Linked DNA regions of Lytechinus pictus. The protein of the gene in region 1 purifies or fractionates together with the protein of each later gene. This does not show direct contact. Links are inferred from orthologs where the notes say so. Each region holds a gene or a part of one and is shown in the gene's direction. Other genes may lie near its edges.

What was found.
Region 2: the proteins of nudC domain-containing protein 1-like (region 1) and putative pre-mRNA-splicing factor ATP-dependent RNA helicase PRP1 purify together in Homo sapiens (co-immunoprecipitation; 3 studies listed by BioGRID and IntAct, with this or other methods). This does not show direct contact. The link is inferred for Lytechinus pictus from reciprocal best matches to the Homo sapiens genes NUDCD1 and DHX15.

What each region holds. Positions count from the first base shown.
Region 1 is NC_087246.1:46,602,349-46,613,800, reverse strand, and holds the start of nudC domain-containing protein 1-like, read left to right. Parts: upstream 1-7,139; 5' UTR 7,140-7,218; coding exon 7,219-7,351; intron 7,352-11,452.
Region 2 is NC_087256.1:1,565,751-1,577,231, reverse strand, and holds the start of putative pre-mRNA-splicing factor ATP-dependent RNA helicase PRP1, read left to right. Parts: upstream 1-6,478; 5' UTR 6,479-6,540; coding exon 6,541-6,605; intron 6,606-11,373; coding exon 11,374-11,481.

The sequences.
Region 1 (11,452 bases):
TACGCCACTGATCATGATGGTAACTGTCCTTGAGGCTCCGCACACTAGAATGTATTTTAAATTAACCTCGAGTCAATTGGTTGAGTCTATCCGAACTTGGTACACTCTAAAAAGATATATTGATCAAAATGATCATTATATTGGTTAATGAAGGGCAAAATCAAACAAATTGCTTTTGGAAATGTTAGAGGAGATATTGCTCTGCAGGTATCACCCACATCATAGGCGGATCCAGGGGGGCCCGAGGCCCCCCCCCCCCCCCCATTGGCGGAGCAAAAAAAGGGGGAGAAAGAAAGAAAAAAAAAGGGGGGAAAAAGAGGGAAAAGAGAGGAGAAAAAAAGAAGAGGAGGAAAACGAGTGAATAAAATAAGATGAGGGGGAGACTTGGAAAATAAAAAGAATCTTTCATGTCACTAAAGCTATATAAAATTTTCGCTCGCGCTTCGCGCTCGCATTGCCTGTTAGATGATTTTCATTTCTTGTTCAAAATGGAGTTTAAATATCAAGTTAGGATGTCAATATACAAAACATATTTCACCGCGGAAATCGAACTTTTATTATTTTGTGTGATTTACAAATTTATTTTTTAAAAGTGCTCTGTAAAAATGTCAATTTTATGGTCTGAATATCAACATTTCTGCTCGTGCTGCGCGCTCGCAAATTTTGATGAACAGGTACCTATTATTTTCGTGTATTCCATAAAGTTTTCAAAATACCCTTTTCAGGTCTGATTGTCAAAACGTATCAGCTAGCGCTGCACGCTCGCATTTTTATTTGTGAGTTATGTATGTCTCAATATTGATTATACAACAAACTACTTAAAATCCCCTTTTCATGACAGTTTATCAAAAATTTTGTCTCACGATTTGCGCTCGCATTAATGGTTCAAATATTTTATTTATTTATATTTATTTATTAAAACATCTTTCAACAGGATAAAACATTAATCAGCTCGCAGGCTGTTTCACATAATGGTCCTGCATAAAGAAAATATACACATATTAAAGAGAAAGATTACAAATAATTAGAAATACATGTTATTATATACAGCAAAACTAAAATACAAATAATGCTAAAAATGAAACATCAGAAAAAAAGAACAAATAGCAAGATTTATCTCACAGTAAGATAAAGAAGTGAAGGAAAAGGAAAGAGGTTTTATACATTGATATCAAGACAGGAATGGGTCTCAATTTAAAGAATTGTAACAATTTTAAATACTCATAGGAAATCATAATAATCGATAATAAGTAGATGTGTATTATTTGGTAATCATGCTTATAATAACAATACTATAGATATATATGGACCATGAAAGAACAGTTAAATAATTGTTATAGATTTAAGCGAAATTTCTTGTAATGATGTTTGAAACTTTCAACAGAAATGGCATTCTGGATATCTTCCGGGAGTTTGTTCCAAGTTACTGCTCCGGCATATTTAAAGGATTGTTTAAATAGGGATATGATAGGTTTGGGTAATACTACATTTAGTGAATTTGCATTCCTAGTGTTCATGTCATGGCGATCGAAGTACATTTCAATTTCATTTGATAAGCGGGGAGGGGCAACGCCCCTTATACACTTGTACATGAGAATTGCCAGAAAATAATCTCGACGTTGGTCAATAGTTTGCCAGGAGAGTTGATTTATCAATGTATTCCCGCTCGCAATTTGATAGTCAGAAATTCCAGATACATATCTGGCAGCTCTATTTTGCAATCTATTTAGGGGCAATTTGTAAGCTGCTGGACAGTTGCCCCAAACAGAGATTGCATACTAGTAGTCTATACAGGGCTGAATTATGCATTTATATAGGATATTTAGTACATGTGAACTCAGGAATTTACTCAACTTGCCTAAAGAGTAGATCTTATAGGCAATCGATTTACATAATTCTCTTAAATATACATTCCACTTCAGGTTTTCATCTATCACAATGCCTAAATACCTTATAGACTTTACCTGTTCAATCAGATCATTATTAATGAATGTATTCAATGTATCGGATGATCTTAATTTAATTTATAGTATTGTTTTGGTTTTGCTTGTATTAATGCGTAATCGGTTTCGGTTATACCAGTCATTTAAGGCGTCTACATCTTTCTGTAATTTCTTTGTTACATCTTCCAATTTACTGTCTGAGGCAAATACTACTACATCATCAGCAAATATGCTGCAAGTACCTTCAGTAATACATTCAGATATATCATTAATACAAATTAAGAACAGGATGGGGGCCAGAACACTGCCCTGCGGTACTCCAATAGAAAGCTTTTTTAATATTAGATAATTTTCCTTTGGAAAATACAGCTTGCTTTTTATCATTTAAATAGTTTTTTTTTACCAAGTGAGCATATTATTGATAATTCCATATTTTTCGAGTTTGAATAGAAGAAGTCCATGATCTACACAATCAAAACATTTTGAGATGTCTAGAAAGCATGCAGCAACCATTTCTTTCATATTTATAAGCATCATAGAAATCATCTAAGACACGATGTAGGCACGTTATTGTTGAATGGTTCGGAAGAAATGCGTATTGATCAACATTAATCATGTCATGCTTTTGGAGGTAGGATAGATTGTATTTCCTTTTCTATGATTTTGGGGATGTGACTACCGACTGAGATTGGTCGGTAATTCGATTTTTCGTCTTTTGAACCCTTACCTTTGAAAATCGGTGTCGTACGTGCAATTTTCCAGTCAGCAGGAACAAATCCCCGTATCTAAACTAGTGTTAAAGATGTCACATAAGGATAGGGCAATAAATGGGGCAGCTAATTTCAATGATTTTGTATCAAGTCAAGGGTATCTAAGTTACTATTTGATATATTAACTGATGTATCCTATTTATAATTACAAAGTGCTTTTTCAGGCCATAATATCATCAGATTTCGCGCCCTCATTATAGGCATTAATGAATAAGATATTAATTTAATAATTAAATTGTCCCTTTTGTTTCATCTCGCGCTTAGCAAGAGGAATAGGAAGATAGTCATCATTTTCATATGCGTGTCCTAAGGATGTCCCGGTCCTATATGTTAAAACTCAAAGTAATAGTAATGAAAAATAAAATAAAAATCAGCTCCTTATTAAGTGCGATCCATATCCACCTCACAATTTTCCTACAAAGTGCTTAAAATATTGAGCTGAAATTGACTCTTTTTTTCAGATCGGAATATCACATAGTTTAAACTCGCGCTTCGCGCTCGCTTTGAATTTTATGATAAAAGATGTAATTAGGATGCCTAGATTCTAGGTCTAAATATATGAAACACGCGCGCGCATGTTTATTCAGATGATCAACTTGTTCTCTATTTAAATCATTATCCAGTTTCAGATCACAATATCAAAAATTCTCTGCTCGCGCTTTGTGCTCGTATTATTAATGTAGGAAGATTCCCTATTACTCACTCTTTTCATGATTTACAAAACATGAATATAGTGTCCCGTTTTTAAGTCTAAATCTCGATTTTTTCCGCTCGCGCTTCGCGCTCGCATCAATTGTTTAGTTATACTTATCCTGTTCACGATTAAAAAATTTGATTAAAATTTTACATTCTTTATGTAAATGTCCAAATATTTCAGCACGCTCGCATTATTTGATTGTTATAATATGTAACGTCTTCATGGCTAAGTTGCAAGCAGTCCTCAACAGGTACCTTTTCGATCAGTTCAAAACGTATACAAAAATGTTCTGCTCGCGCTCTGCACTCGCATTAATGTAACGAAGATCCCCAATTAATCATCCTTTTCATGATTTACAAAACTTGAATAGAGTGTCTCGTTCAGTAGGTCTAAATCTCGAAATTTTGCGCTCGCGCTTCGCATCGATTGTTTAGTTATATACCTATCTGTTTAAATTACAAAAAGTGCTTAGAATTTTCATTCCTTAGGTAAAAATGTCAAAAAATTTCACCTCGCGCTTCGCGCTCGCATTATTTGATTTTTAAAATATGTAACGTCTTCATGGCTAACTGCAAGCAGTCTTTAACAAGTATCTTTTCCATCAGTTCATTTCTGCTCACGCTTCACGTTTGTAGTAATTATTCATTTACATACACATCTTTTTCAGGATAGCAAACATTGCCCAGAATTTTCAAAATTTTAGGAAAAATACATAATATTTCTAAAGAAATTTAGCTCGCGCTTCGCGCTCGCATTATATAAATAAGGATTATGATATTATATATTTATGTTTATTCATAACAGTAAAATTTTATTTTATAGGTCTATACTTTATCGTTGATATGATATAAACTCAAACATTTTCATGCCAAAATGATTTCAATTAGTGAGTGATGAAAGGATTTATGTTGGACAGTTCATAAAGTAGAACAGCACTTCATCACATACATACACTAGCGTACCTACGGGGGGGCAGGGGGGGCACTCTGCCCCCCCTGACGAGCCACAACCCATACAAAAGACATATACCTGCCCCCCCTTTTTTTTTTTTTTTTTGCTTGTCAATTTTTTTCTGGTACGATGACCTTCATTTTTTAATTGAAGACCTTTTTTTTTTTTTTTTTTTTGCTTGTCAATTTTTTTCTGGTACGATGACCTTCATTTTTTTTAATTGAAGACCTTTTTTTTTTTTTTTTTTTTTTTTTTTTTTTTTGCTTGTCAAATTTTTTGCGGCCGATTTTGCCCCCCCTGTGGAAAATCCTAGGTACGCCACTGCATACATACCAAACGAATTGTAATGTAAACACCAATGTGCGCTACCATAATAACACACTGAAATAGACAAGTTCAGGATTTCTTTGAGCCACTTGCAAAACTTGGATAACAGAAAAATAAAACGTTCTGTAATAAAAGTAATTTCTTCATATTTCAACATCACAATGGATCCGAATGGATATTGATATGATACATATATAGTTTAATGTAAATTATATAATAATAGCAACTAGCGTTCAGGTTTTCAGAGCAATACCGCATTGCAGCTAGTCCAAGTGGATGTAAGGTTCCTAAACTAGTTTCTATGGTAACGGTTACCGCATGAATTTTTAAATGTGTATAGCGAATCAGGGATTTAAATTTATAGGTGTTTCTTAGGTACCATTCTATCAACCTGTTTTGAAGGGGAAATTCACCCTGACAAATGGTTTACTGTTAGATTAGCAGAAAAATATATTGGTGAAGGTTTGCGGAAAACCAATCAAAGATTAAGAAAGTTATTAGAAGTTTGAGTTTTTGATTTGTGACGACATATACTAGCAGCTTCACCGTATTTTATGCACCAAAAATGTATACTTTTCAATTTTTAATCAGTGGTTCATGATTGCTAAAATATCTTTCAGGAGCGGATGTGAAATGATTTGTATGTTGATATACTTAAGGTACAGTGAAAACCAATTTCCTTTTTTTTAGAAAATGACATTTCATTCATATTTTTTTATTACACCATATGTGGGAAAAACTGCTCGCAAATGACGTGAACTTTAAAATGTAAAGTTCTAATAGCTTTTAAAATCTTTGATGGATTCCCTAAAACCCTCATCAATATCATTTTAATTATTTTCTGCTATTTCTACAATAAACTATATGTCAGTGTGAATTCCCCCTTTAATGAATAAAGTACAATACTTGGGATCCAAAGTGTGCTTCAAAATTGAATATTAGAAGAGCGATTTGACATGAGAAGGCCGTGCATGTAAGTTCCGGGGGAAAAAAGAAATACCAACTCAAGTGTTATCAATTTGGTGCAGAAGATCTACAGTATGGTTTAAAAATGTTACCCTTTCCATTAGTCCAACATTATAATTCCAATTTTCTTCTCAGACCTTTTCTTATTTAATCTACTGTACATAGAGGGGCTTTTTTATTTTTTGGCATGGGGGTTTAAGACTGGCCATTTATACCTCTTTCATTTTTACCTCAGCTATTTTTGCCTCTGCCATTATTACCTCTGCCATTATTACCGCTGCCATATATTCCTCTCACATTTTTTATCTCTGTCATTTTTACCTCTGCCATTCTTACCTTTGCCATTTTCACCTCTGCCATTTTCACCTCTGCCATTTTTACCTCTGCCATTTTTACCTCTGCCATTTTTACCTCTGCCATTTTTACCTGTGCCATTTTTACCTCTGCCATTTTTGCGTGAATGAGAAATAATCTAAGTAATTTCAGATGAAAGAGGAGATTCTAAGCTTTACAATGGTAGGTCATTTGTCTATTGTATTTGTGATTGTGAGATAGTCATCATTTTCATATGCGTGTCCTAAGGATGTCCCGGTCCTATATGTTAAAACTCAAAGTAATAGTAATGAAAAATATCAGCTCCTTATTAAGTGCGATCCATATCCACCTCTGCCATTTTTACCTCTGCCATTTTTACCTCTGCCATTTTTACCTGTGCCATTTTTACCTCTGCCATTTTTGCGTGAATGAGAAATAATCTAAGTAATTTCAGATGAAAGAGGAGATTCTAAGCTTTACAATGGTAGGTCATTTGTCTATTGTATTTGTGATTAAGTTATGATAAATCATCGATAAATCTCGGTTTCGTTTTTTGTGGGACGCACTGTATATATAGTCATAAAAAAATGTCTGTTGAATATAATCCAGTGATTCCAGTCAATTATGTCATTCAGGGGCGAAAAGGAAAATTTAATGAAAAAAAGAAGATAAACGAGAATTGCACAGATTAAAAGAGTGTTAATTATGTCACAAAGTCACAATTAATTTATAGGGGGCTGTGCTCTAGCTGCATATGTCGATATCGTTCGTCCACTGCCCTCCCTGGATTGACACTGCCCCCTTTCCTCTCCATTTCTCTGCTCCTCTTCACATTCTTTCTCATCACCTCTCCCTACTTCTACTTCTCTTGTTCCTCTCACCTTACTGCGCCAACCCCCCCCCCCCCCCTCCTCCGAACACTCATCGATCGAGGGCCGCCAATTAACTGCATGTCCCCGAGCTGTCTTTTATCTCACTCTCCCTACTTTTCCTTCTTTTACTCTTTCATTTCCCCACTGTTTCTTCCCCTCCCTCCCCTTTTAATTTGCTTGTTTTTTTTTTTGTTTTTTTTTTTTGGGGGGGGAGGCTTGGCCCCCATGACATCTCCACTGCCACGTCATGATGATTGACGTGTTTTTCCAGAATTCCGAACATTGATGAGCGTTCCATAATCGTGAAGTACGAGTGGCGCGCGTACCGTGCGTGGTTTACGCACACGGCCGGTATGTATGCTTGCCTGGTACGGTAGATGTCACGGATCGAAATGGCGGCTGCTTGTTCAGAAGTTCTTCGCGTGAATAGAGACCTTCTTGATAGCCAGTTTGATGGCTACAAATTATCTCTCGACCCACTACCAATTTATTCTATTTCCGTCAAGTCTGGTGAGTTCAGTTTGTTTTATACAAGTTGGCAAGTGCGAGGCTTAGCAAGCCCTTGTCCCATGCATTCATTTTTGCGTCGCTATGATTTAAGTCGTAATTAGGCGAAAGTGCGGACCGATCAGCTGGGCGTACATAAATTGCATTGCAGTGAATAGCGAGCGCGTATCATTCACACACTTTATTTCGCTCCAAATCCAATTGTCCAGTCAGTCCGCAGCCCGTCCGAAAGTGCTCTATTTTATTCAGCGGTATGCATAGCCGTCCGTGGTTATGCATACGTAATGAGCTGTGAAGACGAACTTTCCGATCGGTGTTTTTTGCTCTTAGAATCGTTTATTCCTCACATAATTGGTCTTATTTTATAGATAAAACTTTGAAATTTCTGATCAGCTAAATAAAATGCACATTTAATGTATTTTCAAGACCGATATTTAGCTTAGAAAAAATGAGTTTTTTTAAGAAATATATGTGAATAAACAGAGCGCATTTTTGCATCGAAATCATACTTGCGTCAAATTGATATTATAATCAATATAAAGCGTAGACATTCTTATTTACGACTGAAAAAAAATTATGAAATTTCATGATGTAGCAAAGTCAGGAACCACAAAAAACCACGGCAATGTCCATCGCGAAATGATTGGAATTGTAGTAGAATTGCCGACGCGTTCTGATTGGTCAACAGCGGCGCACAGACTTACAACATTATATATATCTTAAAAAACCCGGAAGTAATACGGAAGAGATCGATGGCGAATTGCGTGAGCGCTATGTTTTGACGTGTGCAAGGACCCTGGTTCGAACCCACCAAATTGAGTTTTTTTTTTTTTTTTTTTTGAGGGGGGGGGGGGGGTTGATGGGGATATGTTTATGCTTTTTCTTTAAATCGTATTCCTTCATCGTTCCTACCCAGCTTTATTCTCTTTTTACTTTCATATGAAGTTCTATTTAGGCCTGTATTTATTAAATCATGGAGCTATTATTAATAGCTCTATGATTAATTCTTACTTCTTCTTAATCACTGCTTTTGATTTTCAAGTTCTTGATTACACTTATTTGGGCAGGGGTGGGAAGGGAAGTGAGTTAAAGGTCAAGTGCACATCAACAAAAAAGTATTTGAATAAATAAAGAAATTTCCCTGTTTTTACACAAAACAGTTATATACACAAAACAATGGTATGCAAATAGAGTTGATTATGTCACTCACATCAAATTACTTTTTAAATTTTTGTTGCATTTTTATTATATAAATTTTAGCAAATTTGATGTAAAAAATCTTTCTCGAATCACAATAGGTTACATTTATGGAAACTACGAATGTTAATGGAGGAATTAAAATCCCTCTCAAAATTTGTTAATGAAAATTAAAATAAAATATACATGTCATGTACATGTATCAAACAAAAAAATACACAAGAAATTAGAGTGCGTGTGACATAATCGGTTCTGTAATTTGCACATTGACCAAGATGAGCATATAATTGTTTTATAAAATTAGGCAAATTTCTCAATGTCAAAATAGTAATTTTTTGAATTTTGAATCATAGTTTTTATAAAATTCTCTGCAATACTTTATTTTTCTTTAAATTCAAATTATTTTTTTGGTGGGGTGGACTTCTCCTTTACTCTTTGCTTGGAATAGGGAATGCACATTAATATTTATCCACGAACAAAATTGTCTAAACATATGCAAATCAGTAATTGGACACATGCTCACTTTCCTTTCATCCAGGCCACCCCCTCACATCCACCAGGTTTACAGTCTTATAACAAAAATTATGAATTAATTATAATACCATCACACCATAGCTCCATGATCACACAACATTCATACAGTGCTTCACAACAAATATTTCACTATTGTTCATATAATTACTGTGGAAAACAAAAACAAGGCGTAACCACATTCAAATACCATATAAAAGGACAAATATATTATACCTTTCGAAAAAAAAAAATTGTGAACATACATGGCACTTAACCTTCAGCACATTAGATAACATATAACAGAGTTGCTTGAGAACAAAATATAATTATGGGGCATTGCAAGAAACTTATGTTCAATTGCAAATCAACTACATGTTTGTGTTTAATCAAAGGACTTACCCTTAATTTTGGAATGTGTGATTGAGTAGAAAGTTTCTTGCAATGCATCAAAAATGTTCTTTGGTTTTGAATTGTGAATTTTTATTTTTGTCAAGCTGTATTCCTGTCCAAGTCAGTATTCTTAGTCCTCCCCAAAACTGTGCTCTAATTTTTTTGTTTCCAATATCGATAAAGATCAATTTTCTGTTGTATCATTATCAGTCCAAAATTTGCAAACGAAAAAAGGGCTTTGTCCAAATCATGGTCTGACCATTATAGTACATGATGGAATCTCCCAGAATGAAGTAGCAAGCAGAGACCAGAGTCAGAAAGTATGCAGATCTGTGTGTAGAAGAGACAAAAAAGAGAGAAATAGTCTAAATTATTCAAAGTATGAATTATGTTACATGTAAGTCAATTAAGAGACTAACTAAGTACTGTCTGTGACAGACACAATTTTTTTATTTGAACAAAATGGTTTATAAATACTACTGAGTACGGTAGTACCAGACTTTTTACTTTGACTTTAAACTGTTTATAGTCTCTAGAGTAGACTGTCTGAGCTAATCATCATTTAATTCTTAACCGCAGCCTGGGGCAAAAATCATCATGGGGCTCATCTTCGACTAATTAAGAAAAAAGGTTAACAATTTTCAACATAAATCAAGAAATATCTCAATCTATAAAAACTTGATGGAATTCGGAAACCTGATAATCATTTGAATAAAACTTTAGAAGGGATCTACTTATTAAGCTTCGTTTATATTAAGTCTTAATAAAAAAAAAAAACAAGTCCACCGTCCACAGTCAGAAATATAATGCGAGCCATCTGCCATCATTACAGAAGTTTCAACGTATGGGACCAAAGGCGAAATTCTACCAACCCGCGACGAACGTAATTTTGGCATTATTTCGCGCCATCGTGGAGTGAACGAGAAGGTTACTTCCGGGTAAAACGTAAATTTCTTGATTTTTAGGGTATCATTTTCTCTAAAATAAAAATACAAGGTGAGTTTGCGTCAAGTTGGTTCTGACATATTTTGAACAGTGACTTTTCTTCTTTCTAAAAAACCCCGATCGAAACAATTTGGTTATGTAGCAAAGTCAGGAACCAAAAGTGAAATTCCGACTACAAAATCGCGGTTAAAATATTACTAAAATAAGCATCAATTAAAGAGGTAAAAATGGTAGGTTGAAAATGTCGAAATATGGACAATTATATACCAAAATGTAGATGAAGGTCTTGAAAATAACTTACCACAATTCGTTTCGACGTAAACTGAAGTTAGCGACCAGTACAGAGCTATAACTTCAGCCCCTCCAATTCAGTGGGAAAATCAAGCCAAATTGATCGCACGTTTTCCTTCGGAGACCGCTAGAGGGCCGCTGAATAAATCTCCGTGAATATGCTCATTATCGCGCGAGCTGCGGTCTGACTGTGTCCCTTCGGCCGAGCGCTGGAGCGGCATTTAATTTGGAATACTCAGTACTCTGACAGTAGCTTGACAAAAACTGAGTCAGTCATGCTCAGTTTCTTCCTTTATTACGCTGATTTTGATTGGTCAAAAATTATGGTTGTTGCTTCATAAATCTTTGGCAAACATCAAAAAAGACAAAAATATGCAGCGTGGAGTTTCACTTACCGGCGTGCGATGGAAAGACCTCAGGTTAAGATAATACTGCTTCTTCGCTTGAAATCGCCCTCTCATAATCATCGAATCTTAATGAAACTCGGTTAGTAATAAAATTTGATTGAGAACATTTTATGAAAGTTTCATTGAATTTGGTTCATAAAGAGCTAGCGATATTTTTTAGTGTTGTGAGGTGTTTGCGAATCTGATTTTGCTCATTTTGTAAAGCGCTGTGATATTGTGAAGAGCACTATATAAATACTTATAATGTTGTCTTGTAATATTGTATTGTAATGAGACAATAATAATGTCAATGAGACATTATTATTATTGAGACAATAATAATTATTATAATAATTATGATTATAGTAGGGATGCCACCCCA
Region 2 (11,481 bases), on another chromosome or scaffold:
TGAGGGGGATTAATATATCACCAACCACAAATGTGAGAGCGAAGCGCGACCTAAAACTTTTGTATAGTCTAACCTGAAAACTTGACATTCTAAGCATTTTTTTTAAATATCAGGATGTTATCTGAATAAACTATTAATACGAGTGCAAAGTGCTAAGCTGATTTTTTTTTCGTATTCTGACTGCCGCTTGACATTATAAACACTATTTGTACCAAATACAAGGATGCATGGGTATCTTAATTGATGCGACTGAAATTTTTTATATTTTGATCTTAAAAAATAATTAATGGACGTTTTAATTTGAGAACAAGATATATAGCCAATGAACAATTATTGCAAATGTAAAACGTGCGCTTTTTGAGGTTTAGACCCCAAAACGGGACATTCTATTGACTTTTTGTAATCATAAAAAAGGGTGGATGTCTTGCTAACTGAGGAAATGATGCGCAGCGAGTGCGAAGCGCGCAAGCTGAAAATATGTGTCATTTTAATATGAAAGCCAGACATTTTAAGCACGCTTTCAAATAAAGAGGATATATAAATTGAATAAAAAATAATTTCATGCAATAAAATACAAAAGAACAAGTGGGGATTACATGTGTAATATGTACACCATCAATGAACTCTTGTAATATTCATGAAGATATGCATATAGACTAAACTGTTTCACTAAAATAATGCAAATCTTAAAAATGGCATAACTCCGTTATTCCTTGTTCGATTTTGAACATATTTGCAGTATTTTGTTTGTCTGATTATTATCTGCTCAGATCACATTTTTCTTTCATTTTTTCAGCCTGGATGACCCCTTTAATGCGCATGAAAAGCGCTGAAATAATTGATATAGGCCCACTGACATGAAAACATGGAAAGGGATATTTTAAACACTCACGGTTTGTTGGAATTTATAGGAATGAAATACGTATTTCGATAATCAAACATTTTGGCTATTTATCATTTTTTAAATCACGAACAGGATGCGTAATTGCGTATCTCGATGAAACAAAATAATGAAAAAAAAAATATCGCGATTAGATAGATTCCATTAATAATTTGTGTATATTAACTTACAAACGTGAATTTTTAGCCTCTTGTTTCATTCACCTTCCTTTTTTTATTCATTTCCCCATGTCCTTTTTGCTTTTTTAAATGTTTTTTCTCTCTATCTTTTTGGCTATTGGCAAGCGGCTGGATTCCTCGTAACCCTGCAGAAAACTCATCCTGGTTACGGGCCTGCGATTGTTATATTTTGTTTATTGCCAGAAAATTTTAAGATGAACTACAATTCTGTGGCCCGGTTTTTCGGTTTTCTCATTCCAACTGTGAACAACAACGACAACGAAAAATACAGTTGTCTGTTTCCTGTTCTGTTTTTAACATTTTTTTTAGGGGGCGGCAGAATTAAGCTATGCGTTCCACATTTATTTTTATTTATTAAAAAAGGTTATACGAATACCTAAATATGGATTTTCCTAAGCTAACAAAATAAATATTGCAATTTGTAACTTGATTAAACTTCCGTAACAAAGATTGACAAGGTTAAATGCCACTCGAGGATTTGATTGTAAAGTATTTTGGGATTCCCAGAATTGGCCATGCGTTAATATTGCTTAGGATCTTGCTTAGGATTACTTAGGGCCAGAAACTTTTAAGATGAACTACAATTCTGTGGCTCGGTTATTCGGTTTTCTTATTGCAACTATGAACAAGAACGACAAAAAATATGACAGTTGCCAGTTTGTTGGTCTGTTTTTAACATTTTTTAATGGGGGGTGGCAAAATTAAACAATGCGTTCCACATTCATCTTTAATAAATTAAAAAAATGTTATACGATACGAATACCTAAATATGGATGTTCCTAAGCTAACAAAGTAAGTATTGCAATTTGTAACTTGATTTAACTTCCGTAACGAAGATTGACAAGGGTAAATGCCTTTGAGAGGATTTGATGGTAACTATCTTTGGATTCCCATAATTGGTCATGCATATAGCTTAGGATCTCAGGTTCTGGATGAAAAGTTATTTTAAGGTTGCCTCATTCAAATTATGAACATTAAACTAAACGAAAGATGTGCAATGATTTTTATGGTTTTTTCTGTTATGTTATTTGGTAAAATCCTGCTTCTGAAAAACAATATTGAATATTTTTTTATATCTTGCAAACATTTTGGCTTCAGTAAATGAAATTGTTGATACCACACTAATATTGAATTGTGTGCATTTCTATTTCAATCATTTCAAAAGTGATATAACTGAGTGACATAAGTGGGCAATGCTAACGATTAACCTCCGATAACATTGATATATATATAGTGCTTCAGTATCCGGTCAGTACTTCAAATTGACGCAACAGCGACTTGCCCCTTTTCTGTTGCCACTTTCTCATACATGGTACTTTCACAATATGCATCTTTCAACCCACTCTGTAGACTTCATTTTTACGATTTTTTCTCCCATCAATAATTTGGTGCATTTTTCTGAGAATAACCCTAAAAAATAAAGTAAGTTTCACGAACATGGTAATGACAAAAGTGAAATGAAAATAAATTGGTCGCAGCTAGCTCGGAAGGAGATGAAGCTCTAAAGGGTTTATCGGCTATGGTCTGGGGGCAATTAAGCCCCCGCCCCCCAAAAAAAGAATAACAATAATAAAGAAAATGATATGAAAGGGGTGAAATATTTCAGAATGAATAAAAATCTATCAAAAATAAGATTTTTTATAATAAAAAGGCAATTCTTTAATTCAACTCGCTTCACTCGCTCGTAGCTTTTTTAAGAAAATTAATGGAATTATAGATTGTCCAATTCCAATGGAAAATCATTTATGCATATCAATTAAACCATACTATACAAATAACGCCGCCCCCAAAAATCGCACAGGCCACAAAGTATAAGTAAATATATTTTCTTCTTCTTAAAGGGATGGTCCGGGCTGAAAATATTTATATCTTAATAAATAGAGTAAAATTCACAAAGCAAAATGTTGAAAATTTGATCAATATCGGATAACAAATAACAAAGTTATTGAATTTTAAAGATTTGCATTATTCCGGTGAAACAGTTCCAGGCATGTCTTTATAAATATTCATTATTTTTAGCTGGGCTGATGCTGTCACATCCCCACTTTCCTTTTTCTTATGTTATTACATGAAATCATAATTGTTTAATTTTTTCATGCATGTGTAAATTATGTGTCTCCATATTTTGATGAAATAAGTTGCGCCAATAATGCACTTAATCAGTTGTCAATCTAGTTGTTTTATTTCTTGGTATAGTAAAAATTTGAATAAACCTAATTTCATATAATAAAATACAAAAGAACAAGTGGGGATATGACATCATCAGCCCACCTCATGAATATTCATAAAGACATGCCTAACACTGTTTCACCTGAATAATGCAAATCTTTAAAATTCAATAACTTCGTTATATTGTTATCCGATTTCTTCTCAGCTTCTTCTTCTTCTTCTTCTCAAAAGGAATACATTACAGGCATTAATTTCAAAGTGTGCAAAATTTCTATAATATGTCCGTGTTAACTAATGGTCCGGGCTGTAATCCGATTTTGATCAAATTTTCAGCATTTTGCTTTGTGAATTTTACTCTATTTATTGAGATATAAATATTTCCAGCCTGGACCACCCCTTTAAACCTCCTTTACTTCTGATCGTCACCCCTGATCATTATGCCTTGTGTTTTGTCATTTTAATTCTTATATTCATCTCACCTTATGTAGTACTTGTATAAATTTTTTAATGCTTTTTATGATGAGTCCTGAATAAATTTGAATTCTTCTTCTTCCTTCTTAATTCTTCCGGCTTCCGGAGTCTAATTAAGCTGGCCTTAATTTTCCCATCTTCGCGTGATCTGCTTGTTATTTTTTAACACATGCACACGTTCGTATATATAATGCAGAAAGTATAATGCATAAATGTAAAGGTGCTGCTATTAGAGCAAGAGTCAGGTGGTTAGAAAAAGGTGAAAAGTGCACAAGTTATTTTTTAGGTTTAGAGAAATATAATTCAGATAGAAAAAATATTACCCAATTGTTATCTGTAAACAAAGATAAATATTGTACTAAACAAACAGAGATATTACAGGAAGTCGTAAAGTTTTATTCATTGTTATTTAGAAAATCTGATATCGATAAAACTGAGAGAAATAATTACATCAAGTCAGTTCATGTTCCAAAGCTGAGTGATGAAGGAAGAAATAAATGTGAAGGATTGTTAACAAGTGCCGAATGCAAACGTGCTGCTTTTTCTATGAATAAAATCAAATCACCTGGTCTGGATGGTATTCCCATAGAGTTTAACCAAACCTTTTGGGACGACATCAAATATATTTTATCGAGCGCTCTTAATGAATGCTTCACAAATGGAAAATGTCTGAAAGTCAGAAAGCTGGTCTTATTACAATGATTTATAAGAAAGGAGACCATAGAAATCTAGAAAACTGGAGGCCAATCTCACTTTTAAATTGCGATTATAAAATAATGACCGCAGTTTTGGCCGCACGATTGCAATCGGTTATTGGACAGATCGTTAGCGAAGAACAAACTGGTTATATAAAACATCGCCTGTCTGCCTTTAATATACGTCTTACAATTGATGTCATTGAATTTATGAAAAGAAAATACTTAGATGGTGCTATAATGATGGCAGACTTTTCTAAAGCTTTTGATGTAATAGATATAAATTTTGTGTCCTCATGTCTGGAAAAAATGAATTTTGGAAATAATTTCCAGACATGGATAAAAATGTTGTACACAGATGTTCGAAGCTCTGTATTAGTAAATGGCTGGATATCAGAGTCCTTTTCAATACAAAGGGGAATTAGACAAGGCTTTCAGCATTACTCTTTGTCCTCGCAGCAGAATTTATGTCTAACAAAATAAGAAATAATGAATACATAAGAGGTATACCTGTTTTGAAACCAGAAGATAATTGTGAGGTTAAAGTACTACAACATGCTGACGATACCCTGTTCTTTGTGTTAGATAAAAGATCACTAAAATTGATAAATGAAGAACTTGAGTTATTTGGGAATGTAGCAGGTCCAAAACTTAATAAAACTAAAACAGTGATCATGTGGGTGGGGAGAAGTAACTCCAAATGGTCACTCAATGATATTGGTCTATCATGGACAGATATTCCTACAAAATACTTAGGGTTTTACATCTCACCTGATATAGAAAAAGCACGTAAAATGAATTGGGAAAATAAACTAACGAAATTGCAAAGATTATTATATAATTGGAGAAAAAGAAAGCTTACTATTTTTGGAAGAGTAACCATTGTCAAAACTCTAGGTTTAAGTCAGTTAGTAGTTAGTACATATTCTCATGGTTGATATTATTCCTGAGAAAATGTTAAAAAGACTGAATTCTCTAATATATACTTTTATTTGGCATACAAAGATTGAAAAAGTAAAAAGACCTATAATGACCAACAAACTAGACAATGGAGGGGTCAACATGATTAATCTATATACCCCAAAATTGAGCTTTCGACTAAGATGGCTGGGGCGCATTCTTGCGTCAAGTAAAGGAATGTGTTGTAAATTCAGCCTTTATTGGTTTAATATTTTAGGTGGTTTGAAACTACTCCTTAATTCAGACTTTGATGCTTGTAATATAAAACATATATATGCAAGCACCATCTTCCAGTCTTTTACATTAAAATATTACAGGCCTGGTTAAAGATAAAGAATAATGCTTGTTTAGAATATCACCCTAAAGTACATGGTCTACAATACGAAATTTTGTGGCACAATAAAAATGTAACCTTTCGCAACATCACCCTATTTTTTGAAGGATGGTATAAATCTGGGATATATAGTATTTTTGAAAGATATTCTCAGGAATGGAAATTTCGTGGAAATTCATTCCCTTCTTAAATCGCAGAAGAGTAAGCAAAGATTGATATTCGACTACACATTATTACGTCAGGCTATCCCTAAAATCTGGATAAATGATAATACATTACCTTGTACCAACCGCAATAATAAACCTTCATTAGAGTTTCCCAAAATAGATGTAGGAGCAAAAAATCAAATTAAAAATTTTCATGATATTTCAAGTAAACAATTCTATAGACTATTATCCTTAGATTCATCGAGCACTATAACAGATGCTATTTGTATTGGGAAGAGATAATTGGGTCACCATTAGATTGGACAAAAACTTTTAAAAGAAACTTGTGTCACTGTAAAGAAAATAAACTGAAAGAATCAAATTTTAAGGTTATATATAATTTATTGCCAGTAAGAAAGAATTTGTATGCTATAACAGATGGGAGATGCCCGCATTGTTACGTGGACGAAGATAATGTACATGCTTTCGTTGAGTGTAATTGTAAACCAAATAAGACAAGAGATTCTTTTCTTATATTTGACAACAGTAGCTAAGTTTGAATACAATGTCGACCTTCTTACTCGATACTCTCTCTGTTTTGCTGCATGCCCTCTACGGTAAATACCGTCGCATTGAGTAATTGTTTTTGCCTTTTTGCGCTACTGCAGCGAGAAATCCGAAGAGAATGTCAAAAAGACGTTTAGATATCGATGATTCATACAGTAAACGGAAGGGAGAATCTGATTATAGGTAATGACGATGACTTGATACTGATTTGTGATATTTTCCAATCTATTAATACGTGAAAAATTGTTTTTTATTGTCTTCAAGTGAGAATGATATTGTAATCGTGACATGTGCATTGACCATTGTGGATACCGGTACGGTACGTACGGGTGTCGTTGAGTGATGAGGATGCAGCATGGCGCTCGCCGCTGCATGCTGCATCGGCTATATCTAGTATGAGTGACTATGGGCAGGGAAGTGTTATAGATGAGTCTGACTAGCAGCAGTGATGTGTGACTGTGAGGCGCGATGACCCGTGGCGCCTGGGACGATGCTGTGCTGGCCTAAAGCTAACCTAAGTAAGATAAGTTTTTTTAAAAATGATTGTGCGTCTCAAAGACAGAGTCGAACAAAACACAACTTTGAATTGCATGGCATGGCTGTGTTTATATTACTAAGTAGTGTATCGTTCATGTACTTCTTCATAAAATAAAAAAAATATGGTGCTAAATGGCAGTTTCGCACCGCCACGCACCGGCTAACTTCGCTCAAATTTCCCCAAACCACTCATTTGTTTGCAAATGTTCCCGTTCCTGATTGCGATATTCGGAAAAGCAATTGGCATATTATTATTGACCCTAATTTAAAATGTGATCGAGACTAGAGACTTGCTTTGACTATGAGTGACATTTGCAGAAAATTATTTCTTTGAAGTAGGCCTGCGCGAAACTGCATTAAAGGTAAAAAAAAATATTGGGAAGGGGTTGGGTATAGCCTTGAGGACTCTGTGATGATGTTATTAATATTTTTACATATACTTTTACATCACGGAGCCTTGAAATCGTTGCCATACATTTCAAACAGTTCATATATTAAAATTATTAATTATAATAATATTCTCAAATTTTATTATTTAATAAATAATGATTTTATTTTTAATCTATGAATTGTTCTTCAAAACGGCACTTCGTAACATAGACCAAAAGCTTCAGTCTCTGTATTTTGGTTGTTCCGCTGAACTACGTTGGCTCCACTCACCATACATAGACTGAAGGGGATGGGGCCCCGTACCTACAGCCAACGTATAGTGAACTAGCGTTTTATAGATCGCGATTTAAAACTGTTTTTTAAGCAAAATTGAAAGTTTCATGGTTTCCATTATCAGGGAAATATTAATAACTTAAGTAATTGCATACCTTGGGCCGGAGTTATTGAAAAAAATCCTCTGGATGATTGAGAAATCTGTCATCTAAGACATTTTCACCTGACCTGACGGTCTTTCTTGCAAGTTGCCATCTTGAATGACGTCATTATCGTATTAACTTAATGTCTCGAATCGATATATCGCGATTATAACTAGTACTAGTACTAGTATAACTAGTATCGTTTATCTTCGGTTTCGTTCGCATATGGAGCAGATCGTATAATATCGAAAGCAATATCGATATCACATTCGTGATTGTTGACGTTCGTTTGTAAATATTTTATAGTTTGGCTGCCATTTTGACCATTTTTATCGTGTTCAACCCAATTAAACATCGGTAAAGTATATTTTTCATGCCTTTTTCATCTATATCGTTTAAAGTATTTAAATGTTAAAATACAAAGTTTTAAAAGTTTGTTGTTAATACATCCTTAGATTGTAAATTCGATGTGTAAAATTACATCAAACTTTGAACTGTGAATTGACAAAAGGGAGGGAATGAGAACACATGCGAGCCCACACGTACACCCTACCGTCGGTAAATGGGGATTACAGTAAAATGTCAGAAATTGTTGAATAAATCCCCAGAAACGACGGTTATTCCTGTCTATTCGTAACATAGCTCATAGAAGCTACGTCATATCGAAGCGGTTCAAGGGTCAAGCCTATTGTATTTGTAGTGTTTACGAATGGATCGAGGGATCTACATGAGATTGGTCTGGTACGAAACCTCTCATTTTTCATATTTATACTAACATATTTTACCCCTTCAAGTTCAGGCTTCATACACATAAGGCGTATGAAGGTTCATAGATAAATAAAATCAAGAGAAACAAACCGATTTCACCCTCTAAATATGGATTTCCTAAGGAAATCTATCTGTGTTGACAAGTCTCGCTTAGGCATGTATGGCGACCATTTCAAGTAAAAGTATATGTAAAATATTAAAAAACATCACAGCGTCCTCAAGGCTAGGTTGGGTACAGGTTAAATCTTGCCTCCTTATTACAAAATTAGTCGCTTTTCTGAGATGCGCCTATATTCGACATGTGTCATGATTCAACATGTTTATCAGACTTTTTTCACAAGCCAGTGCAGTCAATCACCACAGCACACACCAAACACATACACAGGCACTATCACTCTCCACCTGTGTTATGCAGGACAACAAAAAATTCAAGAGCTGTTACTGTCCCAAAGAAAGATATAAAAATAATCCTTAATATCAAATTCATCATGTGAAAACACTTTAAACTTTACTTGTATGTATAGCATTGTAAAATACATTTAACTTCTGAAACAGAACAAAGTATCTGCCAAAAGTACAGATGTCACCGGTAACGCAAAGCCATAGTGTACGTACTATTAATAGTGTGAAATTCTAATTGTGTTTGAACATGACAACGCAGCTTCTTGAAGTTCATCAAATGGATCCCAGAATTTTCCTTCAAGTAGCTGCAATGCCAATTGCTGTTTTATGATCGCACTAAACAAAACCATTGAGGATGTGGGAGAGTGTGGATTCATTTCAGGGGTAGGATTTGTGTTACCCTCCAGTTCTCCACATCCTGAATCTGGCCTGGGAAGGTAATTACCTCAGAGTGGATTCAGTGGAATCTTAGCTCTGTGTCCTTCTGACACTCCTCAGTGAAGACAAACATTTTGGAAAATTTCGTTCAGATCAAGTATGCTCTTACTGGCACCAATGGTTGCCATCCATGGACCAGTCAACATGTGATGAATGATACCAAGGCATCGGACATCTGTCTTTGCTTCTGTTGTCCATGTGTTCATGAATGCTCTGTGCAGGTCATTTGAAGGTTTCATTACCTTAGTAAAATATTTTGTTATCCCATCTCCTACCTCGCTTACTTGCTACACTATGAAACAGGATATTTGAAGCGGTTACCAACCAAAGGTGGTAAATAATTGATAGAGCGGTTAGAGCCTCTATCCTTCAAGGTCTTAATTATACAATATCCCAGTGGTAGCATTGTTGAAGCTATGCTGAGCAGCATGTATTAGAGCCTGTGCATTACTTTCCCCTCGCCGATGGTATGGCATTGCGTTAATGTTTGGAACTATCCGCTCCTTGTCCTGTGATGTCAGCACAGGATCAGGTTTGTTTGCGATTGAATCCAAAAGGTGCATCCCACATCTAAACTTTTTTGACCTTTTCCCAATCTTCTCTTCAAGTTGTGCATCCACAGTAGCATTGGTAACACACCTATCTGTCATGGTATTGCTACCCTCTCCTAGCACATCACTTTCAGCACACCGCGTAATTGCATGGATATAGTCAAGTGGCGTAATTTCCTTCAGCAAGAAATTTATCCACACTGTGCTGCACTCAACCCAGGTGAGATGAATGGGTACCCGGCAGGAAGAAATTCCTTCAATGCTTTGAGCGCCTAGGTAGCCCAGCTAAAGCCGGGGTAATAATAATAGCAGGGCCCGCTGGGAGAACAGTTTTCGGAACTGAAGCGGCTTCCCTGGGTAAATATACCTGTATTATTATTATTATTATAAGTGCTAGACCTGGCTGCTGGTTCTTTCCCATTAAATAAGTTTCGCTTCAAGAAGAAACTTTCACCTCTGCAATGTGCCCAAGGTTCCCTTTCGTCGTTCTATCATACCATACTTAAGTGTTAAGTTTCCTTTATTATAAAGAGCATCTGCAACCTGAATTCGGCATACATGTTGATGTAGTGCTTTCATTTCAGCATCAAGTCGATACTCTTATCGGATATTACTTTCTTTCAGGCTACTCATTTCTTATTGATTTCCTTTCTAGCTACTGATTGTTTCCTTATGGCTTCTTTTTCTCTCTGTGTGTCTTTTAGCCATCAGGTCCTTGATATTTCCTTCCAGCTCACTAATTTTTCCTCAGTACATTGTTTCCATATATGCAAGTTTTTCATTGTGTCGCTGTTCAGTATTGTTGTTTGTCTCCAACAAATGTGAACATGATTGTCATGTTGTCATTTCTTTCCTTCCTTCATTTGAATTGAGCTTCACATGCATCTCTTACCCCATCGCGATTGACAGACTTTTTCATCCATGTAGCATTAGGACCCCTGATAATGCCTTTTTTTTGCATTATATCAGTCGCTCATCAAGTTTGTACCCACTCATGTCATGCAAGTAGATGGTGAGTGGCGCTTAATATGTGCAATGGAGAATCCCTATTAACTTTACCTTCAAGTTTCCATTCCAATGCGTGGCTCTCATTTTCTTCTTGAGCAAACTGAGAAGGAATACCTTTCCAGCACATAAGTTTTCTCTTTTCATCTTTCGGGCTACAGTGTACTTTGATGTGTTCCAGTAGTTAATCATATTGCCTAAAGTTATAGGCCTAATTGGGATTAAATGGTTGTCTCCATGGAATCCATGGAATTGTAACTTTCATGTGAGAATACCCAGAGCTATGATGGCATCCTTGCTCTCTATTTTATAAAACATGAATTTATAAAGTTTTGAAATCGGTTGCAAAGTTACAAATGAACATCCTCAAATCAGTTGCAAATTGTTGCATGTATTAAACTAGACCAACCAGTTAATGAATTCTGTATTGTTTTTTTATACCAGGGACAGGGATCGAGAGAGGGAAAAGAGGGACCGAGATGATGACAGAGATCGAGATCGTGATAGGGACCGTGATAGAAGAGACCGTGACAGGGATAGATCACGATGGGA